2 linked regions of the Drosophila melanogaster genome follow. Changing the gene in region 1 together with any one later gene gives a genetic interaction. Each region holds a gene or a part of one and is shown on either strand. Other genes may lie near its edges.

Region 1 (6,556 bases):
TAGCAAAAGTCGCTTTTCTAAATTACAGTAGAGATATTTATTTATAGTTTAATGTTTTTGGATGAATAATTCGTTGATTTCATCAGGCGGCGAAAAGACTAATCCCTTATTTATAGGCACATACATATAAAAGATTCTAAAAATAGCCTCTGTTTTACCGGCTTTTAATATCCTTCTATAAGCTCTGTAACTTAACAGTTGAAGGGCTTAAACAATTTGTAATTCGTATATCTCACAATTGGGATCTACTGTAATTGTCTGTTTCTCACTTTCTCCCTGTTCCACTCACACCCGCCCAGAATAAGCACTTCGAGCATTTACCGTTTAACCATTCGGAATATAAGTATGTATGTACATATGTAAATATCTATATATTTATGTGCGGGTGTGCGAGACGTACCACGTTGTTGGTGGCACAAAAAAAGGGAAACTTTTATCCAAATGTACAAATGCAAATGTACATTACACTTATCGGCCAAGAAACAATAATTGCGCACAGATAAAGGCCGCATCGATGGTTTTTCGTTTGTCTGTAAATTATCTAATCACATGGATTTTTTCAGGCACACAAATTACCAAGCAATCGGCGAGCGCACAATTAAAATAATTGCCATTGCTTGCAAATCCCATGTACTATGTACGTACTTTTGTTTCAATATTGTTTACATTCAACAATATGGTTATTGTTGCTGGCGAACGTGAGAAAATCGCGATAGAAGACCCGGCAAAGCAACACAAAAACTATATACAGATATTGTAAATAATAAAACAAACTTCGGTCCGAGCGCCAGAAAGAGCAGCAGGCTACTGAATGCTGAATTCTGAACACTGGCGGTTTCGGTTTCGGCGGCTATCGGCTCTAAATACGAAATTCACCCCCAACCCCAGGCGCTCCCGAGCTACAGTAGAGTCTGCCTAGCTTCAACCGCCATAGTTATTGCTCCCTTCCTTTAGAAATAGTTTTAGTTTTAAGCAAGTTGCATAGAAATTTGATATCTGTATTAATTCTGTATCGAGGATTTAACTCTATATAACATTTTACCAGACACAACACTTTATGTATGACCGGTGCGTTATCTTAGTTATTTCGCTGTTCTGAGAGCGCACTGTGTATAGCATCATCGTTAGGTAGTTTTTTCCATCATCCCAAGACAAACTCCAACTCCAATCGGGCTTTTAAACATGAAACCATCTCAACAAAATTTCTTATTAGTTGTATGTATGTATATATAGCATACAGTAGTACATATAATGTAAGTATGTGAATTTCCAATTTTAATCTACTTAGGATTATTGACAATAAGATTTATAACGGAAGCGCGATAACCGTTTGATTTTCACAAAAATATTAATGTTAATCAATAACATTATTGTCCACTTCTCCCCCTCACATATAAATACATGCATGTATTTGAAATTGAAAACGCGATAAGAGGCCATCAGGGTTTTAACATCCTCAGCTATTCACGTTAAAGAAGTACCACTGTAAAATTGTTACCTGTGTGCCCCCTAGTGTGGCACATACATACAAACATTTGTATATATTTATGTACATATGTGATTTGCAGTTTCTTGCTGAAAACCATGCAACAAGTGAATGTTAAAGGAGTGGAACATTCCAATTTCGTTATTTCGATAGGTGTTTTTTAAATTATTGCGCCTAATCTCCATTTCGAAATTTAAAACACCCCCTTAATTGGGAAATAACGTTGTAACACACCAGGAATAAAAACATACGTTCAGCTCTAACAATTAAGGCATAATCGATGATCAATACATACTTAAAAGCATTCCCCAAAGCGCACTTTCAAAATGAATATATCATGTTGTTCCTAAAAGTATTCCGGTATGAAACACCCAGACTGGGCTGCACATATGTATTTAAAAGCATTTTGGGTTTTAGTCCACATCCTTTAAGCTGTTTCACAAAGTTCCATTATTGGAGATGCCGCTGAATTTGAATTAAAGCTAGCCACAGGTAAATAGTATCAAGTTTGAGTTTGGAAATCATTGAAGCAGATTACTGGAAATTATTGAAGTAAATAAACCACACATAATTTGTTTAGTCTATAAAATAGTTCCGATTTCCAGTTTTATTTGTTGGGTTTATTGGTTGTACATTGATGGAAATGTAGGACCCCGCAAGACTTGAAAACAAACTACCAACTAGCGAATCAAGAACTTAGGCAACCAGGGCGGAGGCAGTGCTCGACTCGTATTTCCAGTTGGGGGGCAGGACGCTCTTGGTCTTGTAGTAGCGGGCCAGGCGGTGGATCCTGGACTCGACCAGAATCAGACGGAACTTGCCGTCCTTGTCCTTGCGGTTGCGCTCCAAGTGCTTGCGGATGGCGACGGCCTTCTTGATCATGTGGTACAGATCCTCGGGAATGTCGGGCTTCAGACCCACCGACTTCATGATGCGCAGGATCTTGTTTCCGTTGACGAAACGCACCTGGGCAACTCCGTGCGAGTCACGCAGGATGATGCCTGTAAAAACCGGATTCCGGATTAACATAACCTCAAACAACAACATACTCGGCAGTGCTCACCGATTTTGGAGGGAGTCAGACCCTTCTTGCCCAGCTTCTTAATCTGCTCCTTGACATCATCTGCGTTCAGTTTCAGCCAGGATGGGACAGTGCGTCTGTAGGGGAGGGCTGATTGGGAAATACCCTTGCTGTGAACGAAATACACAAATGTTAGTACGCGTTTATGGCGGCGCCTGTCAAATGCGAATACGTCTGCACCATGTGCTTGCCTTTGCGGTCGATAATTAACACACTAAAACCACCGTAGAAACGCATTAAACACATTCATTCGTTCAACCCGCACGGCAGACACATTTTGCATGCATTCAGCTTGGCACACAGGCATCGAAAACAATGAAAAATTTCATTTTTACCCAGGAGCGTGCATACGACCCATCTTGATAGTCTAGTTTTTGACACCGAAAAGAAGGTGGAGACTTTTGGCACGTTGACAGCTCTACGATGTGGAGACCTGTCAAAGCAGCTATCGATAACGGGATGCTTAGCGATATTTTTTTTAATGCGCTTACAATATGTTGTGATATTCAAAACTTTACTTTAAGTGACTATTACAGGATTTATTAAAGGGAAATAGAAAGCTAATTTGTGTAAAAATAATTCATTTAGCTATCGATATATGTATACTATTGTCAGCTAGACTCTACACAAGCACAGGAGTGCTTTGGGAAGGTTTCATTTCTTGCAGCACGCTAAACGGTCACATTATTGTTTCCCGACCAAGAATTTACCAATAAAATGCATTTAAATAAATATAGTGAAGTAGTGGAGCGGCTTGAGAACGAGGAATTTGAGGTGAGTGATCGTTTAATATATTCACTACAGATGGAATTCTAGAAAACCATACTTTTACAGCAAGTCGAACTGGGAGCTGAAGTCTACCAGCAATTACTTGCTATTTACCTCTATCAAAACAAACTGTAAGTGATTGATATAAAAGAAATACATATTTTAATCTTGTGCTACAGGGCTGATGCCAAGTTGTTGTGGATGAGAGTTCCAGCTAACCTAAGGGATGACAAGGAACTGATCCAGCTGAACCTGCTCAATATTGCCCTGCAGAACAATAACTATGCCGATTTCTTCAAACACATCAAGTATGAGTGGTCGGAAAGAGTAAAGTCACCTGTGGAGGATCTTCTAAGTATGGCTATGCCTAAAAGCTTACTAATTGGATATAAAAACTTATAATGTATCTACTTAGATAAGCAACGCGAAGAGCTGTTCAAACTAATGGGCAGCGCATATATGTCCATTTACCAGCACAATCTACTGGAATTGTCACTAATGTCGGAGGACGAACTGAAACACGCCTGTGCGGCCTTAAATTGGACTGAGGAACTGGACGGTGACCGGGTAATCCTGAAGCCCAAGGTTCAGGAAGCACCGCCAGCTCGTGGAAACGATGACCAGTTGCTTAAGTTGACCGAGTTTGTAACCTTCCTAGAGAATTAAGCCTCAATAAATTTCAATACATTTAATTGGATTTTTGTATACATTTGAAGAAAAGTTATGGTCACACAGCCTGTGTCAATCTAAAAAACACTCGATTAATATCGTTATTAGACATATTTATAAATATTAGCTAAATCACCGAATTGGCGCCATTGGGTTTTGTACGAATTAGCTTTTGGAAGTATACCTAAAAATTAGGAACTAGAAACTAAGGCTACAGAATTATAATTTTCCATGTAATCTATGTAGATATATAATCATATTCTTGGCCTAATTTAATAAGTGTGATTTTAATATTCTTCAGAATTCAGTTAAATAAAATATATTTCAGAAAATCTATCGACGCGCGGAAACGCCGATAGTATCGAATGATAACCGATATGCGTTCCACCTCTACCGTTGTGTCACTTGAAGAAAAAAAATATTAATTTGCACCAACGACGTACGTTTTTCGTTCGAAAAGAACAGCAATCAGCGGATAATTGTATGGATTCTTAGAAAATTTGCAGCGACGAAATATAGTACCTTGCGAAATTATTTTGTAACCTTGAAGAAGTAAACTGCGAATCGCCAGAGGGCCAAATAGAAATCTCGTCGTTTGCCTGCAGAATAGAAGACCCGATTTTCAGTGCGCTTGTGTTTGTGTGTGAGCAGCAGAAACAGCAGAAAAAATGGCAGCAAGCGACAAATCGGTCGACGATTCACTATATCCCATTGCGGTTCTAATCGATGAACTGAAAAACGAGGACGTTCAGGTTTGTCATGTCCTAAAACCTGAAATCCAATTGTATCTCGCGAAGAATGTGCAGAAATATTCTAGTGATTAAATTTTGGGGTAGCGTGCCCACACTCCCTGCTTTATCTGCGATTGTATTTGTGCAAAAATGCGTCACGGTGTGTGTGTGCGTGTGTGCATGGGCATTTGTGTTGGTGCGAGTGTGTGCATCGAAATTATACCGAATTTCGATATACACAAGATTAGCGTTTTGCGAAAAAAATTACTATTATCAATTAATTGCAATTATGGGTATACGTCTTTATCCGCTTTTTATTTGTAGATTTTGTTATCCTTCATTTATGTATGTATAAGTATAAGTTTTTACGCATTTGCTATTTGCAAAAACAATTTACAACTGCGCGTGTTAAAAATAGATCAACTTCAATCAATAGTAATACCATAACTGATTTTAAAATGAGATAGTAAGATGAAATATTTTCGTTACATCGAATAATCTAATCACTTATCTTATCTAAAAAAGATATCTTAAGTAAATATATATGCTACGTTTTTTTTTGAAAATAAAATGTAGGGTACAGGTTGACCACCGCTTTTGTAAAAAAAAACCAATAGCCCTATCAATAATAACCTCAAAATCGTAGAATTAGTTACCACTTATCCTAAATTTGAATACCCTATTAAAATAATCATCTTTAATATTTTCCCTTACCAAAACAGCTTCGGTTGAACTCCATCAAGAAACTGTCCACCATTGCACTCGCTTTGGGCGAGGAGCGCACACGGTCCGAGTTGATTCCCTTCCTCACCGAGACCATATACGATGAGGACGAGGTACTGCTGGCCCTGGCCGACCAACTGGGCAACTTTACTAGTGAGCAAAGATATAATTTCTAATGAAAACATTTCCAACCATGTTCCGCCGTTACTTTCCAGGTCTCGTTGGTGGGCCAGAGTTTGCCATGTACTTGATTCCGCCCCTCGAGAGTTTGGCCACCGTAGAGGAAACCGTGGTGCGAGACAAGGCTGTGGAATCTCTACGCACCGTGGCCGCTGAGCACAGCGCCCAGGATTTGGAGATCCATGTGGTGCCGACACTGCAGCGATTGGTTTCCGGTGACTGGTTCACCTCACGCACCTCTGCCTGCGGCCTCTTCTCGGTCTGCTATCCACGCGTCACACAGCCAGTGAAGGCCGAGCTGCGCGCCAACTTCCGAAAGCTCTGCCAGGATGAGACACCCATGGTGCGCCGTGCAGCGGCCAACAAGCTGGGCGAGTTTGCCAAGGTCGTTGAGACGGAGTATCTGAAGTCCGATTTGATTCCCAACTTTGTCCAGCTGGCACAGGATGATCAGGTAAGCACCTGATTAAGACCAATTTAACAACACTCCAAAATATCAATCCTTATCCTTAATTTCCAGGACTCTGTCCGTCTGCTGGCTGTAGAGGCATGCGTAAGCATTGCCCAGCTGCTGCCTCAGGATGATGTAGAGCACGTAAGTTGATCAGCGCTGAAATTGTTAATACCTGTTGGCTTACAAAAAATATTCCATAGCTGGTTCTGCCCACGCTGCGCCAGTGCGCCAGCGACTCTTCCTGGAGGGTGCGTTACATGGTGGCCGAGAAGTTTGTTGATCTGCAAAAGGCTGTGGGCCCAGAGATTACTAGGGTGGACTTGGTGCCTGCCTTCCAGTACTTGCTCAAGGATGCCGAGGCCGAGGTTCGCGCTGCAGTGGCCACCAAGGTGAAGGACTTCTGCGCCAATCTGGACAAGGTCAACCAGGTGCAAATCATCCTTAGTTCCATTTTGCCCTATGTC
Region 2 (9,093 bases), 8.0 Mb from region 1:
CTGATTATCGGCTTGACCGTCTGTAGCCGTAACTTTTCTAAGACGTTGATTCTCAGATTTTTCTATGGCCAATTGTTCTTTAAGACTAGCAATTTCATCCCTCAGGCCCTGCACAGCATTTTGGCGAACCTCTTTTTTCTGACGAAGCTCTTCTCTGAACTCTTCGAGGGTCTGTTCTCGTTGATGGGTCTCATTTCCTTTGTCCTCCATTTCAATTGCAACTTTATTCTCACGATATTTCACTCTATTTTCGGGAAGTACCTCCTCAGCTTCTTTTTGGGTTGTGGCTCGGGGGGCCTGTTCCAGAATGAGATCCTCGTGCTCGATGTTGTTCCACCAGGGCTCGTCATCAGTGGACTGCTGCATCTGCATTTGCGTATCATCCGCAGACTGTGTGGACTCGGCATTTCCCATCTTTACCAACAGAACAAAGACGAACGAGCTGTGGTATGCGGTTGTGATGATCTGTTTACCAATGCAGATTCGCCTGGCGAGCGTTAAATTTACGATTCGCTTTAATGCGACTTTTCTTCTAGAGAAGAACTCTTTGTCGGCACAAAGAAAGCCCAAGATCCACCGATCTACAGATCGCCACCAATTGATATGGCACCAATACCAGCAGGGGAAAATACCAACAAAAATCGGTGTCTATATTTGTGTGCGACGATCACACACGAGTTTGCAGATTTCGCAATTATCTATTGACTTTCACTTTTCAACCAAGGATGTTCGAGAAAAAATAATGTCCCGATTTCCATTAAATATTCTTCACTTGCACATTGAACTTCGAAAGATACGGAAAAGGAGAAACGTAACTAAACTAAATATCTAGTATACATATGATAAACTTCTATATGTATACGTGACGTTGGAAAATTTTCGGGTTCTAATTTCTATCCGTTCGACGGTCGAACGCAACTTTTCGGTTAGCCAGCTCGGGAAAAACTGAGAAAACATTGAATAGATTCTGCTATTTTTAACCCACTACGATCTCTCCTGCTTTCAAACGAATTTGGCTTCTCTCGGCGGCACTCCCAACATAAAATGCTTTGTTTTCGAGCATTAGAGATTCTTGTTATGTTGAGGGTTTGGCAAGATGTCTGAGAGTCTTCTTAGGACTCTTCCCTTCACATTCTTAATTGTTCTTTTTAGTTTTATGCACATTTTAATTAGAAGAACGTGTCAGATGAATCCGTCTAAAATTATACACAAGCGTCATTTTAATTATGAGTAAGGGGTAAAACAAAACAAAACTCTTGCCACATCGCCTGTCAAGAAATGAAGATCAAGACCAGTTGTCAAGAGCTGAAAGAGAAAGATCCGCAACACTTACTAGGTGAATGATCTGCACTGTTTTGAAGACGATGTTTCCTAACATCAGGAACTTTAATTACATATAAAAAGCATACAAAAGAATTAGCATTACTCTCAGTTTTGGTATTAGGTAAAAACTCTGGGTGAGTATGAACACATGTTCAAGGTTAAATACAGCACAATCCTATTCATTTTTCAATTCATACACGATCACAAACTTTTCTTAGCGCACCCCTGTCTGACCCACATTCGTTGACCATTATCACTTCGTTAAAGAGAATAAATCTCTGGACCTTTATTAACCAATTTGTGATAGTGGCATAGGGTATCCCGCGCACCCCCGAACTCAATGAAAATCTTTCGCGCGAAAGTTTCAAATGAAAATCCATTTGCTAGCTGATTTTTGCACTGGCCACGCCAACTTCCTGTTTTTTTCCCCCAGTGCGCGCATTTGAAAAGTGGGAAACACGCAGCAACGATTCCAAACCAAGGACGGTGAAGGGTTTTCCGGGGTAGGAAGGAAGGATGGCGCACACATTTGGCAAAGTGTCGCCAGGCTTGAAAATGAAAATCAACAATGCAATTTGCCATGGCGCCTCGCTCTGCCCCTTAGTTCTAGGTTTCTCTGTTGTTTGTAGCGACTCAAAAGGGAAAAAATTCTGCTAAAAACTTGAAGCGCCAGGCAAAAGTTGGGCCCCAGGAACGCCCTCAGCTTTTGCAGAGATTGCACACAGGCAAATGTGCAGCGAAAGTTGAAAGTAGCAAGGATACAAGAACCAGGCATCAAGGACGCTCTGCCCAAAATAAGTTGCAAGAAATCCATTGTGTTCATTATAATGGAATAATAAACCGGAGTGACTGCGTTCAGATTGGGGTTCTTTCCTTTTCCATTAGCCCCTGAACCATCTCAAATTGATGATATTTTCTTGATGTTCCCACAACCACTTCATGTTTTCACGTTAAAACCCAACAAAGTAATTTGGCAATTCCAATACAAGAAAAATTAAGAAATCTGGCATCAGCCTTGATTAACACCTATCTTAAGACGAAATATAATGTTAGTAAAATTTTCATATTCTCGCAGTCATTAGACATTAATGTGCCAGTCAGTGGGGTTTAAGCCCAAGTATTCGACAAAACTGCTTCTTAGAAGCTTTAGATGGCGTATTTTGGGGAGGGTGCTTCAGATTAATATGCACATACATACATATGTGCATACATACGCCACCTATGTGGCTCACAACAATGCAACAACTTCATTGCCAGAGCAACACGTTGGCACATCCTGTTGCAAAGTCTCATTTCCGCAGGAGTTGTGTTCTACATACCGGATGCCTTTGCAAATGCTAAATGGTTATTGCCGTATGTGCACAATATGTCAGACGTTGCAAATAAATTATATTTGCTTTTATACAACTTGGATACAATTCAAAATTGGGTTATCAGGCTTATCAAGCGCGCACATATCAGCTGTTCCTTGCATTCGGTTGGCAGCCCAGTTATTTAAAGATGAGCTGAACACGAATCGGAACCATACGACAATTCACCGAACTTTAAGGTTATTTTAGTGTGTTCTATTAATCTGAATACAAATTTTTAGTGATGGTTCTTTATTTACCGAAAATTTTTATCCCAATCATCTATATTCTTATTTCATTCAGTTATATGAACAATATAATATATGAACTAGTTCTTTGCGACTGCCTCACCACTGACTGGTTCGCATTCAAAACGGTTCGATTCCAAACAACACGTGCGAAGGAAGGCAATAGGTTTCTTAATATTTTTGGTCGGCATTCTGAAAGAATAATACTTACAACATGCTGGAGGAGATGCAACAAATGAAGACCATTCCAGTGCTGACCAATTCCCGCCCGGAGTTTAAGCAGATACCTAAAAAACTCAGCAGGGTAAATATCAATCTTGTACCTATAGCAAGGTTTCGTGCTAATAGATTTACTTCTATGGCTAGCATTTGGCCAATTTGGGAGGTCCACATGTGGATTCCTTCGACGAGATGCTGACCGTGGGACTGGATAACTCGGCCAAACACATGATCCCGAACCACTGGCTGAGTCCTGCCGGCGAAAAGATTTCAATGAAAGTAGAATCAATATGGATAGCGAAGCCAAAGGTGCCGCAAGATGTGATTGATGTGCGCACCCGAGAGATTTACCCCACGGACTCCAGGCAGCTCCATGTCTCCTACTCGGGAATGTGCTCGGTCCGATTGGGGTGGAGTGTCAATGGAGTGCAAAAGACTCCCATAAACATGGACCTAGGAGAAGTGCCCATCATGTTGCGCTCCAAAGCCTGCAATCTGGGACAGGCTACTCCGGAAGAAATGGTAAAACATGGAGAGCACGACAGCGAGTGGGGGGGCATTTTTGTGATCCGAGGAAATGAGAAGATTGTACGTATGTTGATCATGACCCGGAGGAACCATCCCATATGTGTAAAACGTTCATCCTGGAAGGATCGTGGACAGAATTTTAGCGATTTGGGTATGTTAGTGCAAACGGTCCGTGAGGACGAATCATCCCTGAGCAATGTAGTACATTATTTAAACAATGGAACTGCAAAGTTTATGTTTTCTCACGTCAAGAGACTATCATACGTACCAGTTTGCCTGATCCTCAAGTGCCTAATGGATTATACAGATGAGGAAATATACAACAGATTGGTGCAAGGCTACGAGTCCGACCAGTACTATGTGTCCTGCGTGCAAGCCATGTTGAGGGAAGTTCAAAATGAAAACGTCTATACGCACGCCCAGTGCAAGAGCTTCATTGGCAATCTGTTCCGTGCCCGCTTCCCAGAAGTTCCGGAATGGCAACCGGATGATGATGTCACAGACTTTATTCTTAGGGAGCGAGTAATGATTCACCTGGATACCTATGAGGATAAGTTCCAGTTGATTGTGTTTATGATTCAGAAGCTTTTCCAATGCGCACAGGGCAAGTACAAAGTGGAGAACGTCGACTCAGCTATGATGCAGGAAGTGCTTCTGCCAGGCCATCTCTATCAGAAATACCTAAGTGAGCGAGTCGAATCCTGGGTCTCGCAAGTCCGACGTTGCCTTCAAAAAAAACTGACTTCACCTGATGCCCTAGTTACCAGTGCTGTGATGACGCAGTGCATGCGACAAGCAGGAGGAGTTGGCCGGGCCATAGAGTCGTTTTTAGCAACTGGAAATATTGCGAGTCGCACTGGCCTGGGATTAATGCAAAATAGCGGATTAGTCATTATGGCGGAGAACATTAACAGGATGCGTTACATGTCCCACTTTCGCGCCATCCACCGTGGTTCCTATTTTACAACGATGAGAACCACTGAGGCGCGGCAGCTGCTCCCGGATGCCTGGGGTTTTATTTGTCCAGTGCACACTCCTGATGGCACACCGTGCGGACTGTTAAATCATTTGACTCTAACTTGCGAGATTTCGATGCGTCCCGATCCCAAGTTGGTGAAGGTGGGTACAGCTAATGGTAGACTTTATTAGAAATTTTAACCGATTACTTTTTTTTTCAGGCCATTCCCAAGCATCTTATAGATATGGGCATGATGCCCTTGTCAAACCGAAGATATTTGGGCGAAAAACTTTACGTCGTCTTCCTAGATGGCAAACACTTGGGTCACATTCATCAATCAGAAGCCGAAAAAATAGTTGACGAATTGCGCTACGGGAAGATATTCGGCACCCTTCCCCAGATGATGGAAATCGGCTTTATACCCTTCAAGAAGAACGGTCAGTTTCCAGGGCTTTACATTGCAACGGGTCCTGCCAGGATGATGAGGCCCGTTTGGAACCTAAAGTGGAAAAGGGTGGAGTACATCGGAACACTGGAACAGCTTTATATGGAGATCGCCATCGATGCAAAGGAAATGTATCCTGACTTCACCACTCATTTGGAGTTGGCTAAGACCCACTTCATGAGCAACTTGGCCAACTTGATACCCATGCCGGACTACAATCAATCGCCACGTAACATGTACCAGTGTCAGATGGGAAAACAGACGATGGGAACGCCATGCTTGAATTGGCCTAAGCAAGCGGCCAACAAGTTATACCGCCTTCAGACGCCAGGGACTCCTCTCTTCCGACCAGTACACTACGACAACATCCAGCTGGATGACTTTGCAATGGGCACAAATGCTATTGTAGCTGTCATTTCCTACACGGGCTACGACATGGAAGATGCTATGATCATCAACAAGGCTGCTTATGAACGAGGATTCGCCTATGGAAGTATCTACAAAACAAAGTTTTTGACGTTGGACAAGAAGAGCAGTTACTTCGCAAGGCATCCACACATGCCGGAGTTAATAAAGCATCTTGACACGGATGGTCTTCCACATCCGGGCTCCAAATTGAGCTATGGTTCGCCCCTGTACTGTTACTTTGACGGAGAGGTCGCCACTTATAAAGTTGTGAAAATGGATGAAAAGGAGGATTGCATAGTAGAGAGCATCCGACAGTTGGGAAGCTTCGATTTGTCGCCAAAAAAAATGGTGGCCATCACACTGAGGGTTCCACGACCTGCCACTATTGGAGACAAGTTTGCATCAAGAGCTGGTCAGAAAGGAATTTGCTCACAAAAATATCCTGCAGAGGACTTGCCATTTACGGAATCTGGTTTGATTCCAGACATTGTGTTCAATCCCCACGGCTTCCCCTCCCGAATGACAATCGCCATGATGATAGAAACGATGGCGGGAAAGGGGGCTGCAATCCACGGAAATGTTTACGATGCCACGCCTTTTCGCTTCTCCGAAGAGAATACTGCTATTGACTATTTTGGCAAAATGTTAGAGGCTGGGGGTTACAATTACTACGGAACGGAGAGGCTGTATTCCGGCGTAGATGGCCGCGAGATGACTGCTGACATATTTTTTGGAGTGGTGCATTACCAGCGTCTTCGGCACATGGTGTTTGACAAGTGGCAAGTAAGATCTACGGGAGCGGTGGAAGCTCGGACCCATCAGCCAATTAAGGGCAGAAAACGCGGTGGAGGCGTCAGATTCGGTGAGATGGAACGGGATGCTTTGATCTCTCACGGTGCTGCTTTCCTGCTGCAGGATCGCTTGTTCCACAACTCCGATAAGACGCACACCCTGGTGTGCCACAAGTGCGGCTCCATTCTGGCGCCTCTGCAACGCATTGTTAAGCGAAATGAGACGGGAGGACTCTCTTCTCAGCCAGATACGTGTCGCTTGTGCGGGGATAACAGTTCTGTATCGATGATCGAGATACCATTCTCTTTTAAGTATCTGGTTACCGAATTGAGTTCGGTCAACATTAATGCGAGATTTAAGTTAAATGAAATTTGATTTAAATCTAAAATTATTGTTAGGTCCTATGTTAACCCGTGCGCTAATCGTAATAAAGATAAATACGTAAAATACAACTGTGCTTGCCAAGTGTTTATATCCAGATCGTGGAAACGTTTTAAACACCTTTCAAATGGTTTCAATTTATATTTATTTAAATACATATTGGTTTACGTTTACAGTTAAATTCCTGCACTTGCTATATGTAGTTGTGGCTTGGTTTTCTTGCTCTTGCAGTTGCTTTTGTTTTGTCTGTGAGTGTTAAATGGAATTTGTGTGGAATTTTGTAACATTTAACTATTGCACTTTGGAAATGCCTAAATTTCCAGCTGTCATGCACATTGGTTTTTACGAAAGGATCGAGAGTTTAATGGTAATAAGTATTTGATGTCAGTTTCCATTATCGGTTTTCAGTATCAGTATCTATATAGTGTATATTTTAGTTTACAATTCTTTGTTCTTTATCGGCAGCCGTCTCGCATTTGAAGAGAGTCATTAGCAGATTTATGGCTGGCGGCTACTGCTGCTGCTGCTTCAGATTAGTTAATACTTGGTGCTACAAAGATCGCTTTCTCTTCAGGAAGCGGCACAACATGAAGTAGCCCCTCTCAGTTTATCTATGGTACACAAACGAAACGTAATATTACCCAGAATCATTCAAAAAATTCTGCTATAAGTATAATAATATTCTGAAATTTTTGCTTCGTTTTCTTCAATAGGGAAATTTTTCCTATCGTTAATAAATTTTAAGTTGCTCAACAGTGATTAATCAAGGAGATTTTGTGGATCTGTCTAATTATTTGTCTATTATTTAATGAGATTTCTGCTCTTGCGGTCCTCCATTGGATTTTACAATCAAAAACATTAAACATGAATTTCGTTTAGATGCAATTGCAATAATCAATATATGTATAAATATTTAGATAACGATTTGCATACTTGTCATTTGCAGGCATCTTAATAATTCCCTTGCAAGCTTTTCTCTTTTGTTTTATATTGATTTCTGTTTTTATTACAACGACGTATATACTAGGTATATGTATGTGGTTTGTATGAATGTATGTAGATCTGTATATAGGTATATAATATCCAATTGCTACTGCCTCGAAATGATGCAACAATATATAATTTGTCATACATATAAACATAATCTAATTATGTTCTCTCGTTTCTCTACTATGAACTTTTTGAGCTTAACATTTACAAAAAAGTTTGGGAACATGAAATTGAAAATGGTTAAAGTAAGAGTAGGTTTACAAACATAATATTCAAATAAACAGGACAGTGGGTAAATCAACTCGCTGTTGGAGAAGATGAAAGGTACTTAAGAAGAGTGTAGGAGTGTGCCTGGCATAACTAAACGCGTACAGTTCTAGGGCCTTGTATGCTTTGATATTTCTCTAGGTAATTGGGATTGTGCATTGTAAAGTGGTTGCCGTTGCTCCATGGCTTCGCAGCTCCGTCTCCATCACCCCGTCCATGATTGTTGTGGCTTAGAATTGATCCGTCAACAGATCGCAGATTTCCCGAGTTACGGTCTCCTTGCTTGCCCGAACTGTCAGTCGGAACATCTATTGATAATTTGAGAAATAGGCAATAGGCATTATGTTCCAAGTATCTAACAATAAATTACTCACCTGAGCCTGCTTGTTCGGCTCCAATCGCATAAGGCAGCCCACCTGTTGCGATTGCGTATGAATGATGCCCGCGCAGACCATGTTGTCTGGATTGGGATCCACTTGGTCCAGCAGTTGCATTCCAAAGCCCATAAGCTTGTTGCGGGCTCCGGGCAAATCCAGTGGCTGTGCAGCCTTGAACACTTTCTGTGACCGTTGTTGTTCACTACAAATGCACAATTAATATTGAATATTATCAAAAGACACCTTATTAAATACCCGCTAAGGTTCTTCCATCGTGCAAAGAATGATTCCGCATTCATTTCGGTAGGCTCAAAGAATTTGTTAACGCTCAATGGCAGTTTAATGCTGAACTTCTGCTGGGTGCCGTTGTAGCGGAAACTGATCTCGATTGTTGGCGCATCGGCGTAGTCCTCGATGCATTCCGCGGTTAACAGTTGTTGGATCTGGGCGCCGGCCTCCAGGGTTGGCTCCACCACCTTCATCTGCACGTTCAGCTTAAGCGCATCCTCGGCAGACCATTGCAGCACAGGATTGAAGTTCTGAAAAGAGAGCAATGTAATGCCTGGAATGTTTCAGAAACTAATTTACTTACTGTCAGGGGAACCTGTGTCTTGTTGCCGTAGAAAAGGCCTAATCGTCCTAAATTCTGGCGAAACTCGCTCTTCACACCGATCTGCAGCATTTCGTTCTCAAACAAAACACCATTGTTCTTGAACAAAAACTTCTTCGTGTTGTACACGGCACTTGAGTTGTTGTTACTATTGCTGCCGTACATGTCGCCCAAAACATCAATGAGCGTACTGTTGCT

The links. A genetic interaction does not mean that the proteins touch.
Region 2: of RpS13 (region 1) and Polr1B, changing one suppresses a phenotype caused by changing the other (phenotypic suppression), as found in Drosophila melanogaster (one study listed by BioGRID).

The regions. Positions count from the first base shown.
Region 1 is NT_033779.5:8,361,639-8,368,194, forward strand, and holds RpS13 (ribosomal protein S13), read right to left. Parts: upstream 3,025-6,556; 5' UTR 2,926-3,024; coding exon 2,903-2,925; intron 2,678-2,902; coding exon 2,550-2,677; intron 2,488-2,549; coding exon 2,183-2,487; 3' UTR 1,839-2,182; downstream 1-1,838. Other genes in the region: CSN8 (COP9 signalosome subunit 8), read left to right, coding at 3,285-3,341, 3,402-3,466, 3,515-3,690, 3,751-4,001; Pp2A-29B (protein phosphatase 2A at 29B), read left to right, coding at 4,673-4,756, 5,458-5,611, 5,674-6,092, 6,159-6,233, 6,293-6,556.
Region 2 is NT_033779.5:401,250-410,342, forward strand, and holds Polr1B (RNA polymerase I subunit B), read left to right. Parts: upstream 1-3,035; 5' UTR 3,036-3,134; coding exon 3,135-3,224; intron 3,225-3,286; coding exon 3,287-4,786; intron 4,787-4,845; coding exon 4,846-6,645; 3' UTR 6,646-6,720; downstream 6,721-9,093. Other genes in the region: CG4213 (uncharacterized protein), read right to left, coding at 1-414; AP-2alpha (adaptor protein complex 2, alpha subunit), read right to left, coding at 8,139-8,216, 8,283-8,487, 8,541-8,824, 8,878-9,093. UniProt on the Drosophila melanogaster protein: DNA-dependent RNA polymerase catalyzes the transcription of DNA into RNA using the four ribonucleoside triphosphates as substrates. Second largest core component of RNA polymerase I which synthesizes ribosomal RNA precursors.